Schizosaccharomyces pombe: one gene and its partners. The main gene of each other region encodes a partner of the protein of the gene in region 2 in a complex. Each region holds a gene or a part of one and is shown on either strand. Other genes may lie near its edges.

Evidence for each region.
Region 1: rml2 (region 2) and mrpl39 share a complex: the UniProt entries of both Schizosaccharomyces pombe proteins name them as parts of the mitochondrial large ribosomal subunit.
Region 3: rml2 (region 2) and mrpl16 share a complex: the UniProt entries of both Schizosaccharomyces pombe proteins name them as parts of the mitochondrial large ribosomal subunit.
Region 4: rml2 (region 2) and mrpl27 share a complex: the UniProt entries of both Schizosaccharomyces pombe proteins name them as parts of the mitochondrial large ribosomal subunit.

Annotation. Positions count from the first base shown.
Region 1 is NC_003423.3:2,700,205-2,703,370, forward strand, and holds mrpl39 (mitochondrial ribosomal protein subunit bL33m), read right to left. Parts: upstream 1,548-3,166; 5' UTR 1,046-1,547; coding exon 1,023-1,045; exon of another isoform or gene 972-1,022; coding exon 870-971; exon of another isoform or gene 839-869; intron 812-838; coding exon 769-811; 3' UTR 531-768; downstream 1-530. Other genes in the region: ATP-dependent RNA helicase Mak5, read right to left, coding at 1-155. UniProt on the Schizosaccharomyces pombe protein: Component of the mitochondrial ribosome (mitoribosome), a dedicated translation machinery responsible for the synthesis of mitochondrial genome-encoded proteins, including at least some of the essential transmembrane subunits of the mitochondrial respiratory chain.
Region 2 is NC_003421.2:694,344-698,055, forward strand, and holds rml2 (mitochondrial 54S ribosomal protein uL2m), read left to right. Parts: upstream 1-1,568; 5' UTR 1,569-1,578; coding exon 1,579-1,740; exon of another isoform or gene 1,741-1,764; intron 1,765-1,813; coding exon 1,814-2,740; 3' UTR 2,741-3,139; downstream 3,140-3,712. Other genes in the region: transcription factor TFIIIC subunit Sfc4, read right to left, coding at 1-502; RNA cap binding protein cbc3, read right to left, coding at 3,262-3,409, 3,532-3,712. UniProt on the Schizosaccharomyces pombe protein: Component of the mitochondrial ribosome (mitoribosome), a dedicated translation machinery responsible for the synthesis of mitochondrial genome-encoded proteins, including at least some of the essential transmembrane subunits of the mitochondrial respiratory chain.
Region 3 is NC_003423.3:3,507,013-3,510,964, reverse strand, and holds mrpl16 (mitochondrial 54S ribosomal protein uL16m), read left to right. Parts: upstream 1-1,831; 5' UTR 1,832-2,031; coding exon 2,032-2,679; 3' UTR 2,680-3,442; downstream 3,443-3,952. Other genes in the region: ARS-binding protein Cbp1, read left to right, coding at 1-194; protein tam12, read left to right, coding at 1,062-1,262; lys4 (homocitrate synthase), read left to right, coding at 3,658-3,952. UniProt on the Schizosaccharomyces pombe protein: Component of the mitochondrial ribosome (mitoribosome), a dedicated translation machinery responsible for the synthesis of mitochondrial genome-encoded proteins, including at least some of the essential transmembrane subunits of the mitochondrial respiratory chain.
Region 4 is NC_003424.3:1,432,203-1,435,003, forward strand, and holds mrpl27 (mitochondrial ribosomal protein subunit L27), read right to left. Parts: upstream 1,197-2,801; 5' UTR 1,174-1,196; coding exon 997-1,173; exon of another isoform or gene 952-996; coding exon 847-951; 3' UTR 571-846; downstream 1-570. Other genes in the region: SPOM_SPAC3A12.06C (sodium/calcium exchanger), read right to left, coding at 1-453; DNA-directed RNA polymerase II complex subunit Rpb11, read left to right, coding at 1,751-1,800, 1,846-1,935, 1,982-2,213. UniProt on the Schizosaccharomyces pombe protein: Component of the mitochondrial ribosome (mitoribosome), a dedicated translation machinery responsible for the synthesis of mitochondrial genome-encoded proteins, including at least some of the essential transmembrane subunits of the mitochondrial respiratory chain.

The DNA of each region.
Region 1 (3,166 bases), on a different chromosome or scaffold from region 2:
TCATAAATTACTTCTTTCATAGCACCTTTTGGCTGATATTTGATATCCACACCTTCAATCTCTTCCAAGCCCATAAACCCATCGAAGTCGTCTAGGTGGTCAGGAAGCTTGACTTCCTTCCATTTAAGCTCGTCCAATGCAGCTTTCTTTGGCATCGTGATCAAAGCGTTGAAAAGTGTAGTAGTTTGCTCCACATAGAAAATGTAGGTAGACAAAAATTTACACTAAGAATTGGAACGAGGGAATAAAAATAATTGCATCGTATAAGCTAATAGAAAACAAATAATTAAATGTTACGAAGACATTAAACGACGATTGGTTTTAGCAATTCAATGCTTTGCCATGTTTTGCATAATTTCTAAATAGTACAACCATTTTGTATTAAAAATATTGCTTGAGAATTTTAGAATCGAATGATCTGAGCTACAGTGCTTACAAGAGTAGTAAACACAAACGATGTTACTACTATAGTTCTAATTCGGCTAGCAATTGGTACAGGTGAAAGGAACATTCTTATTACTTTGAAAATTTGACATCTCAGTCCTTCTCTTAAATAATAATAATAAAAATAGGAATTATAGATATGACAGAATAATATAAGGGTCTTTATGTTCACGCAGCTGTTTAGAATTATGTCGTATAAGATGTAGGTTGGGAAGCTAATACATAATTAATGCACATCCATAAAGTTTTTGAAGAAAAAAGGTAGATTGATCGGTCATAATTTAGCATTTCATTTTCAGACTATCATTGAAATGGAAGAAGTTTTTATTTCATTTTGGATTCTTCGAAAAGTACTCTTTTGTGAATTCTATGGGTTCATTCATTAGCTTCTTAAATGAGGCTTTAGAAAATCCATAATAACTTACTTGGGATCATATTTTATAAAAGCAAGCTTAGGAGCAGCTTTTGGACGTGAACGAACGTAGAAAAATCCAGTGCCAGCGGTGGACAATAATTTTACAAGCAAACTGAAAAATAAATGTTAAAAATGCGCATTAAATTAAGCATGTATGTCTTACCGAGCTTTATTCTTTTTAGCCATTCTGGATATACGTACAGTGCAAGCGGTAAGTTAAAGGTTTTGTAGTTACACCAGGGTTTGTGGGCGAGCTCTTTTAACTTGATGGATAACTTGCAGTCAGAAATGTAAAATTGAAAGTTTGCAATTCAAAGATATTGTTTTGAGTAATGAGAAAGCCTTTTTGCAATCCAATTTTTATTAAATTTGGTTGTGTACAATCGAGGCTTTTCAATAGGTTATTTTTTTGTTTTAGGTAGACTATAGAACTATTAGTAAAGATAAAAGGCTCATCAATGAATTACTTGTTTTGAAAAAAAGCATTTAGATTTGAAATTCTAATTGAGAAACATGCATGACGGCACTTAAGAACGAAAGACGAACAGTAAGAATAAAAAAATTAGAAAGAATTTTTGAATAAAAATAAAATAAAATAAAAAATAAAAAAATGTTAATAAGGAAAGTATAACAAATTGAGTCTGCTGCGTCTCTTCTCCTGATGTCTGCCAATTTAACAGAGAGGAATAATTAACAAACTATAAGTAATCTTATAAATAGAAGTTGCTGTTCTATTAACATTCGAAGAAAAAATATGAAGTGATGAACAACTCTTGAAAAATTCTTTTTTTTTATTACAATTATTATTGTTTTTTAATTATTGGCTGTAGATGGGTATTTAATTAAAGTCCAATCGCGTCTTTGCCAATTTATAATCTTATTTGTATTTCTACATTTTTTTTGGAAAGAATGATATTCAAATGAAAGAACCAATTTTCTTTCAGGAAAAATTCTTTTAGTTAAAATGACATGTACTAGATGAATTAGGACGTTAAGAATGAACTAATTGCAATAGCATAGTTTGCTAGCGTGAAAAAAAAACACAGATGGAAATTAGCGAGCCTAGTAAAGAAACATTTATGACGAGGTGGTTCTAAAAAGCCTTTCGTGTATATATATATATATATTCGGCTCTAAACAAACGCAAGCTTTAAGTATCATTGTAACTGTAAATTATTGGCAATACTGAAAGTATAAGACGATCCTCAAGTTGTAAGCAAACCTAATTCATTTGCTGTACCAAGACTAGGATGGATGAGTTACAAGTCACTTTAAGTGTTTATGGGTCCAAAGAGAATATAAAATGTGTTTTCCCAATTTTACAAGGGTTAGCCAAATAAAGAATGCAAATGAACAAATCGCATGAATTGCGGAAGCTAGTGACATTGTATGACGATCTGCCCGAAATCCCAAGTCCGTATCTCATCCGCGAAATTGAGACATATCACGATGCATACGGAGAAAATCTATACAACGCAAGTATAGCCGCACCCAAAGACGGATATAGAATAGACTGGAGAAGGCTACATCCCTCGGATATGGAGACTGAATGAAAGAATTGAGAGAGTATTTAAAGCTCATTAAGTGCAATGTTTACGATTGTTATTACGGTTCTACATGGTCAATAGTATGGGAAATTTTAAAATAAACATTTTTCCTGGTTGTGAAAATGATGGAGAGAAGCAACGAAAATATCTTTAACTGATGCTTTATATATGTAGAATAAAAATTGAGTTGGAAATTACAGCAGGGATAGTAAACAAGTCAAGGATATGTTACAGTTGTCATTAGAATAACAAAAGGTTTAATAACTATCTTTTAAAGAGGATTTGACATTGTACTAAGGGCTGAGACAACTCGCATTAAATAAGCAAAGGCTGAATTAAGTAAAAGAATATTCGCACTTAATAGAGGAATACTATGTTAAATATAGGATGGATTTGCTGTGTATATATAAAATTATTATCCTCTTATATATACATATAATTATCGTTAATTATTATTTATATTTTATTTTATTTTCTTATCTTTTCCTTGGTTTTTATGTATTTACTAGTAAATCTATAATAATCATTAACTTTAATAACTTTCTTCAACTGATCAATTTCCCAACCAAAATGCTTTGTTATTTGTTCTTTAAGCTTGCTATGTTCTTTAGCTGCGTGTCTATCATCTCTTCTTGTTTGGCTTGGCACGTGCCATTTTACCATTTCTTGCTTCCTCCTACCTTTTAGGCCTTAATATTAACCCCCTGGGTCATCTTTTGGCATATAGGGTAAAGGGGCCAAACTCACTATCCAAGATAAG
Region 2 (3,712 bases):
CAATGACATTATTATCAATACGAACAATCTCTTCAGCTAATTTTTGGGCTTCGTCGAAGTTTCCTTCTTGCGCAAACAAATGATTCGCTAAACTCAACATTTGTTGCACTTCCACCGAGGGAAGCATATCAGCTCGACTAACACGTCCTCGACCTTTATGACCTTTACGGACTTTTCTAAATCCAGCAACTGCCTTTAAATTTTCTTCCCATTCCTCGTTCGCAATGTCGTCCTCGGTTCTTGAGGCTGTTTTACTAAAGTTTGATTCATCGTCACTGCCTTCATAATCTGACTCTTCGTCTGACCAAAGGCCCTCAGCTTGAAGGGCAGAGGTATCTCCCAAAAATTTTGCATCAACTTCAGATACATTCCTAGCCTCATCGACAATTTCGCTTATATACCCGTTTAGATCTTGCATTTCAGCATCAAAGTTGTCAGTTGTATCATTTTGCGTTTCATTCATATTGGAATCCACATAGCTATTTCCACCATTTTGAATCATCCTTTAAGATGCTCAATCATGCTTTCAAATCGGTCTGTTCCTTTTGCCTACTTGAAGTTGGCTGTTTTCGCGTTGGCGTTGGTGAAGGCAAAGTTGAAGTAAGTCATTATAGAAGTACTCAATAAACAAAGAGGTCATGGGTACCACATATCTTGTTCTACAATTGACTAATTAATATGAAGTCAATAAATATTAGTCCTTTTTTCCTGACACCAGTTATTTTACTTGCAACATTTTTGAATTGCAAACTTGACAATTTTGATGTTGTCAAAATACCTAATATCTGTAAGAATTTGGAAGATCCTAGTCAATCAAATAGTGTTTTTCACTTTTTTTTTTGGAAAATGGCATCTCAAGGCTTTTCATGTTGATTGACCTTTGTCAGTGTACACAGAGTATAGTATCGAAACCTTTCATAAGCAAACTAATAAGCTATATTAAACAAACGCAGATCAACCCCATCTTCGAATTGTTTTGAAACGAAAATGAACGAGTTAACAAAACAAATTTCCATAGTTGAAACTTTTCGTTGAAACTGTATATTAAATAAGATTTTTTTGGTATGTGAACTTATTTAGTAATTAATTAAGCACACATCCAAAAAGGAATGTGAGAAGAGTTTTGTGAGAAAGCAATGTTTTCCTGATACCTTGAATCCCTTAAACTCTTCATGCTCAGCAGGCTTATTACAGGTGTCGTAAATTCTAGTTTAACTTTGCTCAACTCGAAGGAAAAGCAAATTCAATTTATCAAAATTTCCAATATATTATAACGTGGTTGAAATTCTCAGTTGACCTGCCATTACTTTCAAACGTATAGAATCGGGTTTACAATGTATAAAATATTTACTACACAGATGATCAAACAATAAAACAAAGTTCTTCATTATTATAGCTAATGTGTTCAATTTCCTCTATGTTGTATTCCCTAGATCAATGTTCATTTATTTACACAGTTAACGACACCTTGGATTGTGTAAAGATTTTAGCACTGAGCGTCGCAAATTATGATTGAACTCGTTAATTCGCAGTCCATCATATTGTGAGTTCTTACCATAGGTTTAGTTGGAAATCCCCATGTTGAGTTATAATCGATTTCGGGGGTATTTGATTCCTCAAATTCATGCGTTAAAGCTGTTCAGATATGCCTCTACCGCATCTACAAGCGGTGAAAAAATTGAATCTTCCGAGAGACCCTACGATGTAGGGATGCTTCTACGACCAAAAACGAAGTTCGAGGTATGTAATATTAACACGAGGGTTACTTTTTATTTATCAAGCCTTAATTCATTTTTTACTAATTCTTATCAAGATTAAAACTTACAAACCTATATCTCCTGGTCTTCGTCATTTAAAAAGACCAGTTAGTGATTACCTTTGGAAAGGGAAACCTTTTCGACCTTTGACCGTTGCAAAAAGAAAAAAAGGTGGAAGAAATGAAACAGGAAGAATTACTGTAAGGCATCAGGGTGGTGGACACAAACAACGTATTCGTCTTGTTGACTTTGAAAGAAAAGTACCGGGTGTTCATCGAGTGATTAGAATTGAGTATGACCCTGGTAGAAGTGGTCACATTGCCCTTGTTGAAAAATTGAATTCCGAAACAGCCAACAAAAGTTATATTTTGGCTTGTGACGGGCTTCGCGAAGGCGATACAGTTGAGAGCTTTCGATCGCTTTTGAAGACTGGTTCTAATGGCGAGCCAGTAGAAATGGACCCCGTCCTAGCTGCTGAAATTGAAGATGGAACTTTTGCAGCAAAAAATTTGAAGCCAGGAAATTGTTTTCCTCTCAGATTAATTCCTATAGGAACTGTCATTCATGCCATTGGTGTAAATCCAAATCAAAAGGCAAAGCTATGTCGTTCTGCTGGCAGTAGCGCTCGTATCATAGCTTTTGATGGTAAATATGCTATCGTTCGTCTACAAAGTGGTGAAGAGAGAAAGATTTTGGATACATCATTTGCTACCATTGGTGTTGTAAGCAATATTTATTGGCAACATCGCCAGCTTGGTAAAGCCGGTCGTTCACGTTGGCTTGGCATTCGTCCTACGGTTCGAGGTACAGCTATGAATCCATGTGACCATCCACATGGTGGTGGTGGTGGTAAAAGCATTGGTAATAAACCTTCTCAATCTCCTTGGGGTGTTTTGGCTAAAGGTGGATACAAAACAAGAAGAGGTAAAAATGTTAATAAATTACTCGTCCGCGATCGTCCTCGTGGAAAGGAAAAGCGGTAATCATTTTATTAATGATCTCTGTCTTCATGACTTTTACATTTCTATGTTTTACATTACCGTAATGCATTTCAATTTTCATGATCCCTTCTCCATTTTAATAGTCGATGCTATTACCTATCCATTTGTGGACCAGATGCATTTATGTATAGTTATTTTGTGTCGACCGTCATTTATCGACGAAAAATTTTAAGCATTTTTTAAGAGTTTAGCTCTTACAATTTAAATCTGTATTGGTAATTTTTGTTCATCACAACGTTGCTTAAAGCTAAGGACTATCCCATTCAAAATTGTCGTTTGCTTACATCTACCTTAAAAGGGTTATCGATATCATTCAGGTACCAAAAGAGTATTCTATTAAACGCAGAAAAGAACGGTTTTATTTTAATATGGCCAACTAAATAAAAAAATTTTATTTATAAAATTGTAGCTAATTTAGCATATTAATTTTTTCTTGCCTTCGTCCAGCGAAAAGCGACTTAAAAGCGGATAAACTGGGTATTTAATATTTCTCTACAACACAATTAACGCTTGGAAACCCTGGAACGACGGTCTCTCCTTGATTTGCGTGGCTTGCGTCGAACTTGGAATATTCTTTCCATCAGTGTAAGGTCAGACACTTTAGGACCTAGTCGTTCATCTAATGGCGAACCCCTTTCATCTTGATTTCTACTGTGCGAAAGTGTTAGTAATTTGAATATAAAATTGAGTAAAAGGAGATTCTCAAAAGTAGAGGAAATGATTTTTGAAAAGTATGAGTGCACCCGGACTAATTTGGTTTTCACAAGTTATACCTTTTAGATTTGCTCTTCTGAGCCTTTTCTTCTCGAGGATCACCGTGAAACAGATAATATCTCGAGTAAAGATGTGCGCTTTTAACCTTCTTGTCTCCGTAGCGGGCGTAACGTATTTTGAATTGACACGTCGGTACAGTTGGGTGTGGTTTCGTTTGATATTCCAATTCCTCTGAAAATT
Region 3 (3,952 bases), on a different chromosome or scaffold from region 2:
AGACGGACGAAGAAGAATCTACTGAATTCCAGATTACCACTAAAGACGCTATGAAGGCGATCGAGCTTTTGCTAAACTATGAAGCTCAACAACCCGATGGAAATCCTGCAATCACGATTAGTCTATTAAATTATCAGAAGCTCCTTGAGGCAAGGGGTGGTAACGTGAATCTTTCTCGTTTGAGAAGCACCTAATGTCTGTATTCGTTGTGCATATTTGACTTTTTTGTTTTTGGTTTGTATTTTAGTAGTTTTAATTTTCTTTTTGTTGAGTTTGGATCCCTTACCTAATGAGTAATTTGCTTTTATTCCTTCATTTTAACTTGTTGCTCTATTTTTAATACCCGATTGCAACTGATGAGCTTATTTGATTTTTCTTTGTTTTTATTTTAATTTTTTTAAAAAAACCTTTTCGAAGTTTCTTAAACGCAAAATCGCTATACGAGCTAATGAAATTGAATATTATACATTTTGTAATTCATGTCTCGCAATCAAGTGCTTTTAATATTGATACTATTTATCTTTAAAAATAAAAACCGGCTAAATGTAAGAAATTTTTTTTTTTTATTGAGGCATATTTGTTTTTTTAAGGTCGAGATTAGATTGTAAATAGTTGAACCGTAGGGGTTAGAGCTTCAAAAAATGATAAATTATTACTGTGAAACCCGAATTTAATCCATTTACGCATGATTGATTTTATAAAAATGTACTTCTCTTTTGCTAACTGCTTCGTACTGTAAATAAGCTTACTTTACAGTTAAGCATTACAAAGGTATATGATGTAATGATATAAGAAATAATCAATAACGAACTTTGATGTTATACGTAACATGAAATAACGATTTCTCTTCGAGACCTAGACTAACATGGCGATGTTCATAACTATGGCGAGTAAGCACATTTCTATTTCTACAAATAACTCAAATCCTTTGCTTGAACAATCAAGCGTGTTATAGCTTATTGGAATTTTTTAAGACTTTTTACAGCAAGAATCAGTAAAATCAGAGAAATTCGAATTGGCAAGTCTTCAAGGTTGTGTCCATTCGGAATATTTATTAAAGTATGTCAACAACTAGTTCTTCGTCGACGTTTTCTACGAGAACAGCGTCTTTATCCCAATCATATACAAATTCATTAAAGAAGGAAGCTGCTCAAAAGACGTTAGAAAACTGGGAATATCAGGCTATTCACGCTTTGCAGAACAATTCTTCTTTTCCCGCGATACGTAGATCAATGCGCAAGATTTTAGCAGATCCTTCATAATTTCCTAATCCCATTTTTTGTTTTTTTTATAATCATGATGTGAGCAAGTTCTTGCTACAGGGGACAAAAGAGTTGCGCTTGGCATTCTTACGTTCGATTGTCCATACAATAATGTTTAGCTCGATAGAGGATCCTTCTAATGGTTTATAAACGTACATCAGAAGATTTTTTTAAGACAGTCTTAACATTCCAAATACCAATACTGAGGCACTAAACAGTTGAACGTTTTGTTATTCTTCAAGGACAAGAATTCCTTGACAAGAAATGAGCTAAGTATATTATTTGAAATAGCTAAAATAGTCACTGTTTTATTTCTATTCACGCATTGTTGTCATTGAAATGATGATGCTGAATCAAATAATGTGTTGAGCATAAAACGCACGTTAAATTCAGTATCTATGAAAATAATCTTTTTTGCCTAATGCTTAAGATAATTTTTTTTTTTTTTTTTACAAACTAATAAACAAACAAATAAATAATTATAGCTAATGTTCAGTTATTGTCCGGCTTCTTCCCGGAACTTAGTTAGGATAAGTGGCAGCAACACATACAGAATCCAAGTATCCTTTAACCCCCTTCTCATACAAAAAATAGCAGGCCTATTATCGTTACTATTGTTACCATTTTCCCATAAAAAAAGAAATATAATACTTAAATTTGATTATTTTGAATATTTCTGAGTAACTTTAAAGAACGACTTTTGCATGATAATAAAAACACGTTGTTTTATGACTTTTTGAAACCCTCACAACATAAAAACTTATATAATATGGCTTTACAACAATACAATAAATTTCCTTTCTTTTTTTCTGGTATTTTAGGACCTACGAGGTTGAATGGTTTACAAATGCCGCCTATCCAAACGATGGTTCGTTGGGGACACCAGTATGCACCCAGAAGCATCAGAAACCAAAAAGCTCAGAAAGGAAGAGTCCCTATACCCATAGGAGGTTCACTACGTGGTACTCAACTTGAATGGGGAGAATATGGTATGCGATTAAAAGATCGAAGTATAAGATTTCATGCCAAGCAACTCGAAACTGCCGAACAGATTCTCAAGCGTATATTAAAACCTATCAAGGCTGCTCGGGTATACACACGTTTTTGTTGCAATGTGCCAGTATGCGTAAAAGGAAATGAAACTCGTATGGGCAAAGGCAAAGGAGCTTTTGAATACTGGGCTGCACGGATACCAATCGGTCGTGTACTTTTTGAAATTGGTGGTGATGGAATGCGTAAAGAGTTAGCTGAGCATGCATTGAAGCAAGCCGCTTTTCACCTTCCAGGCAAGTATGAGATTATCGTCAAGCAAACCCCCAAAAGATTGGGTACCACACTGATTCATGAAACCCCCATTACCACCGAGACAAGCAAAATGAACTATCAGGAAATTACCAGTACTACTACAGCTGTTTAAGGGAAAAGTTAAGCTGAATTTATCTATTTTTAACCCATTCAATAATTACTTTTCTGTCATACTTCTCACTTACTTAGTTTGTGAACTTAATGCTGCATCTTTGTACAGACATTCATGAGCTTCTTTTCAATCGTTGTAGTTATTCTATGTTTTAGTGAATGAAATTTGCCAGAAATGCCTTAAAACATTGTACATTTTGCGCTATGTTTCATTATCTATTTTCGAAATGGGAACTTTCATCCCCAATGAGAGAGTTGCTTAATTTTTGTTGGCGAAATATGAACCACTTTTGATTCACTTTGATTACGGCTCGGCAATTTCGTTAAAACATCAAATTTCTTTGGTCCTGAAAAGTTGGTAACGGTAATGAGTGTTTTTGGCGAAAATCTTATTTGCTGCTCTCTGCTCCGTTGGGGACTTTTTTTCGGGATGTAAAAAACGGCACGTTGTATATGTGCGAAATCATGAAGTGAATCAAAAAGTACACTTTAAATAATATGAAACTGATTTTACTATGGAATTACGAATGAAATTATTCAAATCAACTCCACTAAAATATTTACAACGTTTACAAAAAAAATCACTATACCTTCTAGAACCTAGCTTAGCAATCCACTGTTGAGTGGATCAGTAACTTAATCATTACTACCATAGATCTGATTAAATCTCATCAAGATCGATCGGGATCTGTAAATCAATTTTCTACCATAAATTACCGCGGTTGCCTACGAGTTGGTAGTGACTGTTTCTTTCAGTAAATAAATAGGGTAGGGTCGAATTTTTTGAAATTCATACATACGTGCATCCTTGCTCTTAGTTGTCTCCTCTACAGTGATAAAAGATTTAGCTTAAAAAATTCAAAGCTAACAGGTTTCGGGACAATAAGTTGTTGAATTGTATAATTTATATATTTATACTTAATTCATTTTAGAAAATTCGCTTTTCCTTTTCCTTTTTTTGCATTTTAAAGTCATCAACATGTCTGTGTCCGAAGCTAATGGTACTGAGACCATCAAGCCTCCTATGAATGGAAACCCTTATGGTCCCAACCCATCTGATTTTCTTTCACGTGTCAATAACTTTTCCATTATTGAGTCTACTCTTCGTGAAGGTGAGCAATTCGCAAACGCTTTTTTCGACACCGAGAAGAAAATTCAAATTGCTAAGGCATTGGACAACTTTGGTGTCGATTACATTGAATTGACTTCTCCCGTGGCTTCTGAGCAGTCCCGCCAAGATTGCGAAGCTATTTGCAAATTGGGCTTAAAGTGTA
Region 4 (2,801 bases), on a different chromosome or scaffold from region 2:
CACAGAATCGGGCAATTGAAGTAGCCACGAAATAGTAACCAAATTGGTACTAAAAAAATCACTAGCAGAAATTCCGATAGTTATGAAAAGGAAAATCAGCCATCCCACAATTATTGATAACACTGGGAATCGGAGACTGTTAATGGTACAAAAATAAAATTCAACGTAATCAAAGAACCCACTAGCCTCTCCCTTACAGTAAGCCTTTGCAAACCGACATTGATTAGCAGGGGTAATGTTTTTGATATCATTGCATGTAAGTAAAATTTGGTCGTTGCTATCATTTAAGGTATTTCCGCGCTCAAAAAGATGGACGGTTGAGTCCGAAGTCGAGGATACTGAAGCAAACGCTTTGCTAATCCGATGAGTCCAGAATAAAATGTAGGCAATGCCAAGGATACACCAAAGTAATATTAGTCTGTATTTCTTCAAGAAACATGAAGTTTTCGACATTTTTATACCTGATATCCAAGATATAGAAAATCCATGCTTAAACCGCATTGCTAGGTATTAGCAGCCCTTTTTTTTCTAAGATAGATGGGATGAAAAAGACTAATCCTATAATAAATATATAAATGCGCAGTACTCAAGATTGCCCCCAATTTTGGCAGAAAAAGTAAGAATGTAACTAGTATATTTAATAGAAGCAAACGTCACAACAGAATATCGATAAATATACGTGTCCGTAAACAATAAATAACAACAGTCAACGCAACATAAGGTATCGTAACGTAGAAATTTCTCCTTTCAAAGTGTATGCCCAATCATTAACAGATAGAATAAAGCAACAGTTGAAAAGGGTACCAAAATTTTTCAAAACAATAAAGAATGAGGCTGATAAACATACTAGCTATGAGCAAGATCAAAATACACAGCTCCATCCAACCCATTTGCACCTTCAGGATAAGTTCCTTTAGTGGCTTGAATTCGACGAGAAACAAAAGGCAAAAGCTTTGAAAGTTAATATAAAACAATATTCATTAATTTACAACATACCTCACAATCACCAGAAGGAGGCACAAACGTGCGAACACGCGACCACTGGACAAGAAAACCTCCATGCCTGGTTTTTTGACCCATTTTCCCAGTTCTTGTACCCTTGTAATACTGATGACCCAACTTTGTGGTCATTGGCAAGCGTCTTGCTCCAAAACATAATAATGATTGATGCATTTTGAATAACTCTCGATTTGGGTAAATGGAGGGTTTAAGTTGGCGCGTTTTCCGTCATAAAAGAAAAGGTAACGGTATAAGGTAACAGTCAAAGCGAAACATAGAATGTAAACAATAAAAATATTTGTTTAAAACGAACAAACGAATTACATTATGAAACTAAAAAATGAAATAAGTACGAAAAACTATTTTTTTTTCAACATTTAAATGAGCTTTCTTGTTGTTTATCTTTCTGCACAGTTCAATGAAAACAAGTACGGTTAATCTACAATTAAACGCCTCAAAATATGCCTTTAAAAATTTTAGTTATTAAAATCAGTTATTAAAAAATACTGTTACATCTCCCATTTCATTACTCGTTTGAGCCGATTTCCAACAGATAAATATATATTAAGTGTCCGTTCACGTTCGCGTTATTTATAACGAAATACGATGAGTTGTGGAATAAAGTGTTAAAGCTTTTGTTAAATGGCATTACGATTTATAGTGATGCTTAATGTACAGAACGTGGACAAAACCCTCGTAAGCATCAACATCTTACTTCTTCTTCAGCTAGTCGGCTGAAAACGTTGGCATAATGAATCAGCCAGAACGGTATGAGCTCATTGAGCTTATGGGACTCCCCAAGTAAGGAATAAACAATTTTACAAGGAATTGCATTAACCAGTGTAGAGTCACATATGAGCTCGATAGCAAATCACCTAATGCCGCAGTAGTTACTCTTGAAAAAGAGGATCATACATTGGCTAATATGCTTGCAAAGTAAGACTTCTAAATTTTTTTTTCTTTTCTAACTGCTTTTTCGAAGTCAACTCCTATCTGACGAAAGGGTTCTTTTTGCTGGTTACAAAGTTCCTCATCCATTAAATCACAATTTCATACTTCGTGTACAAACCGTAGAAGATTGTTCTCCAAAGCAGGTTATTGTTGATGCTGCTAAGTCCCTTATTACTCATCTGGAAGAAATCAAAGTTAATTTTATGCGTGAATGGGAGTTGAAAATGATATCTGTTGAAGGCGTTGAAATGGAGTTTTCCTAAAATCCACGGCTGCTTTTTCTCTAATATTTATTAGAGTTTTGTTTCAAAAAATACAGAATACCCTCTGTATGCATCTTTATTACAAAAATTTTGACTTTCGTTTTCGCAACTTCTGTAATTTGGACCGAAGTCGTATTAAAAGGGAAAATAAAAGTTTCTTTCTTTTTTGAAAACAGATGCTTTAAAAAAGGTGAAAGTTCTCCGATCTTTTATTGTATATGCTTCTTCATAAACCAACTAGAAAACTGCAGCAATGGCGATGAAAGTTTTTCTAGGTACCTGGATTATTCTCTGATATTGCTTTTTTTTTCAAAGTTGAATTTTGCTGAATGTAATCGAAGTGATTAATTTCCTACAGTAGGGCAGAGCATCGATTCTTACATTCAATCTTAAAAGAAATAAATTAATTAATGTTGTACTATTACAATTTATGTCATTGAATTATTCACAATCATCATTTTCTCTCCAAATGCTTTGCTTCAATTGCATTACGAAATTTGTTTATTCCTGTATTAGTTATTATTATAGAATACTTTTTGGATATGTAAGTAATTATATTTTCTTAAAATATACGATAAATATTCTTGC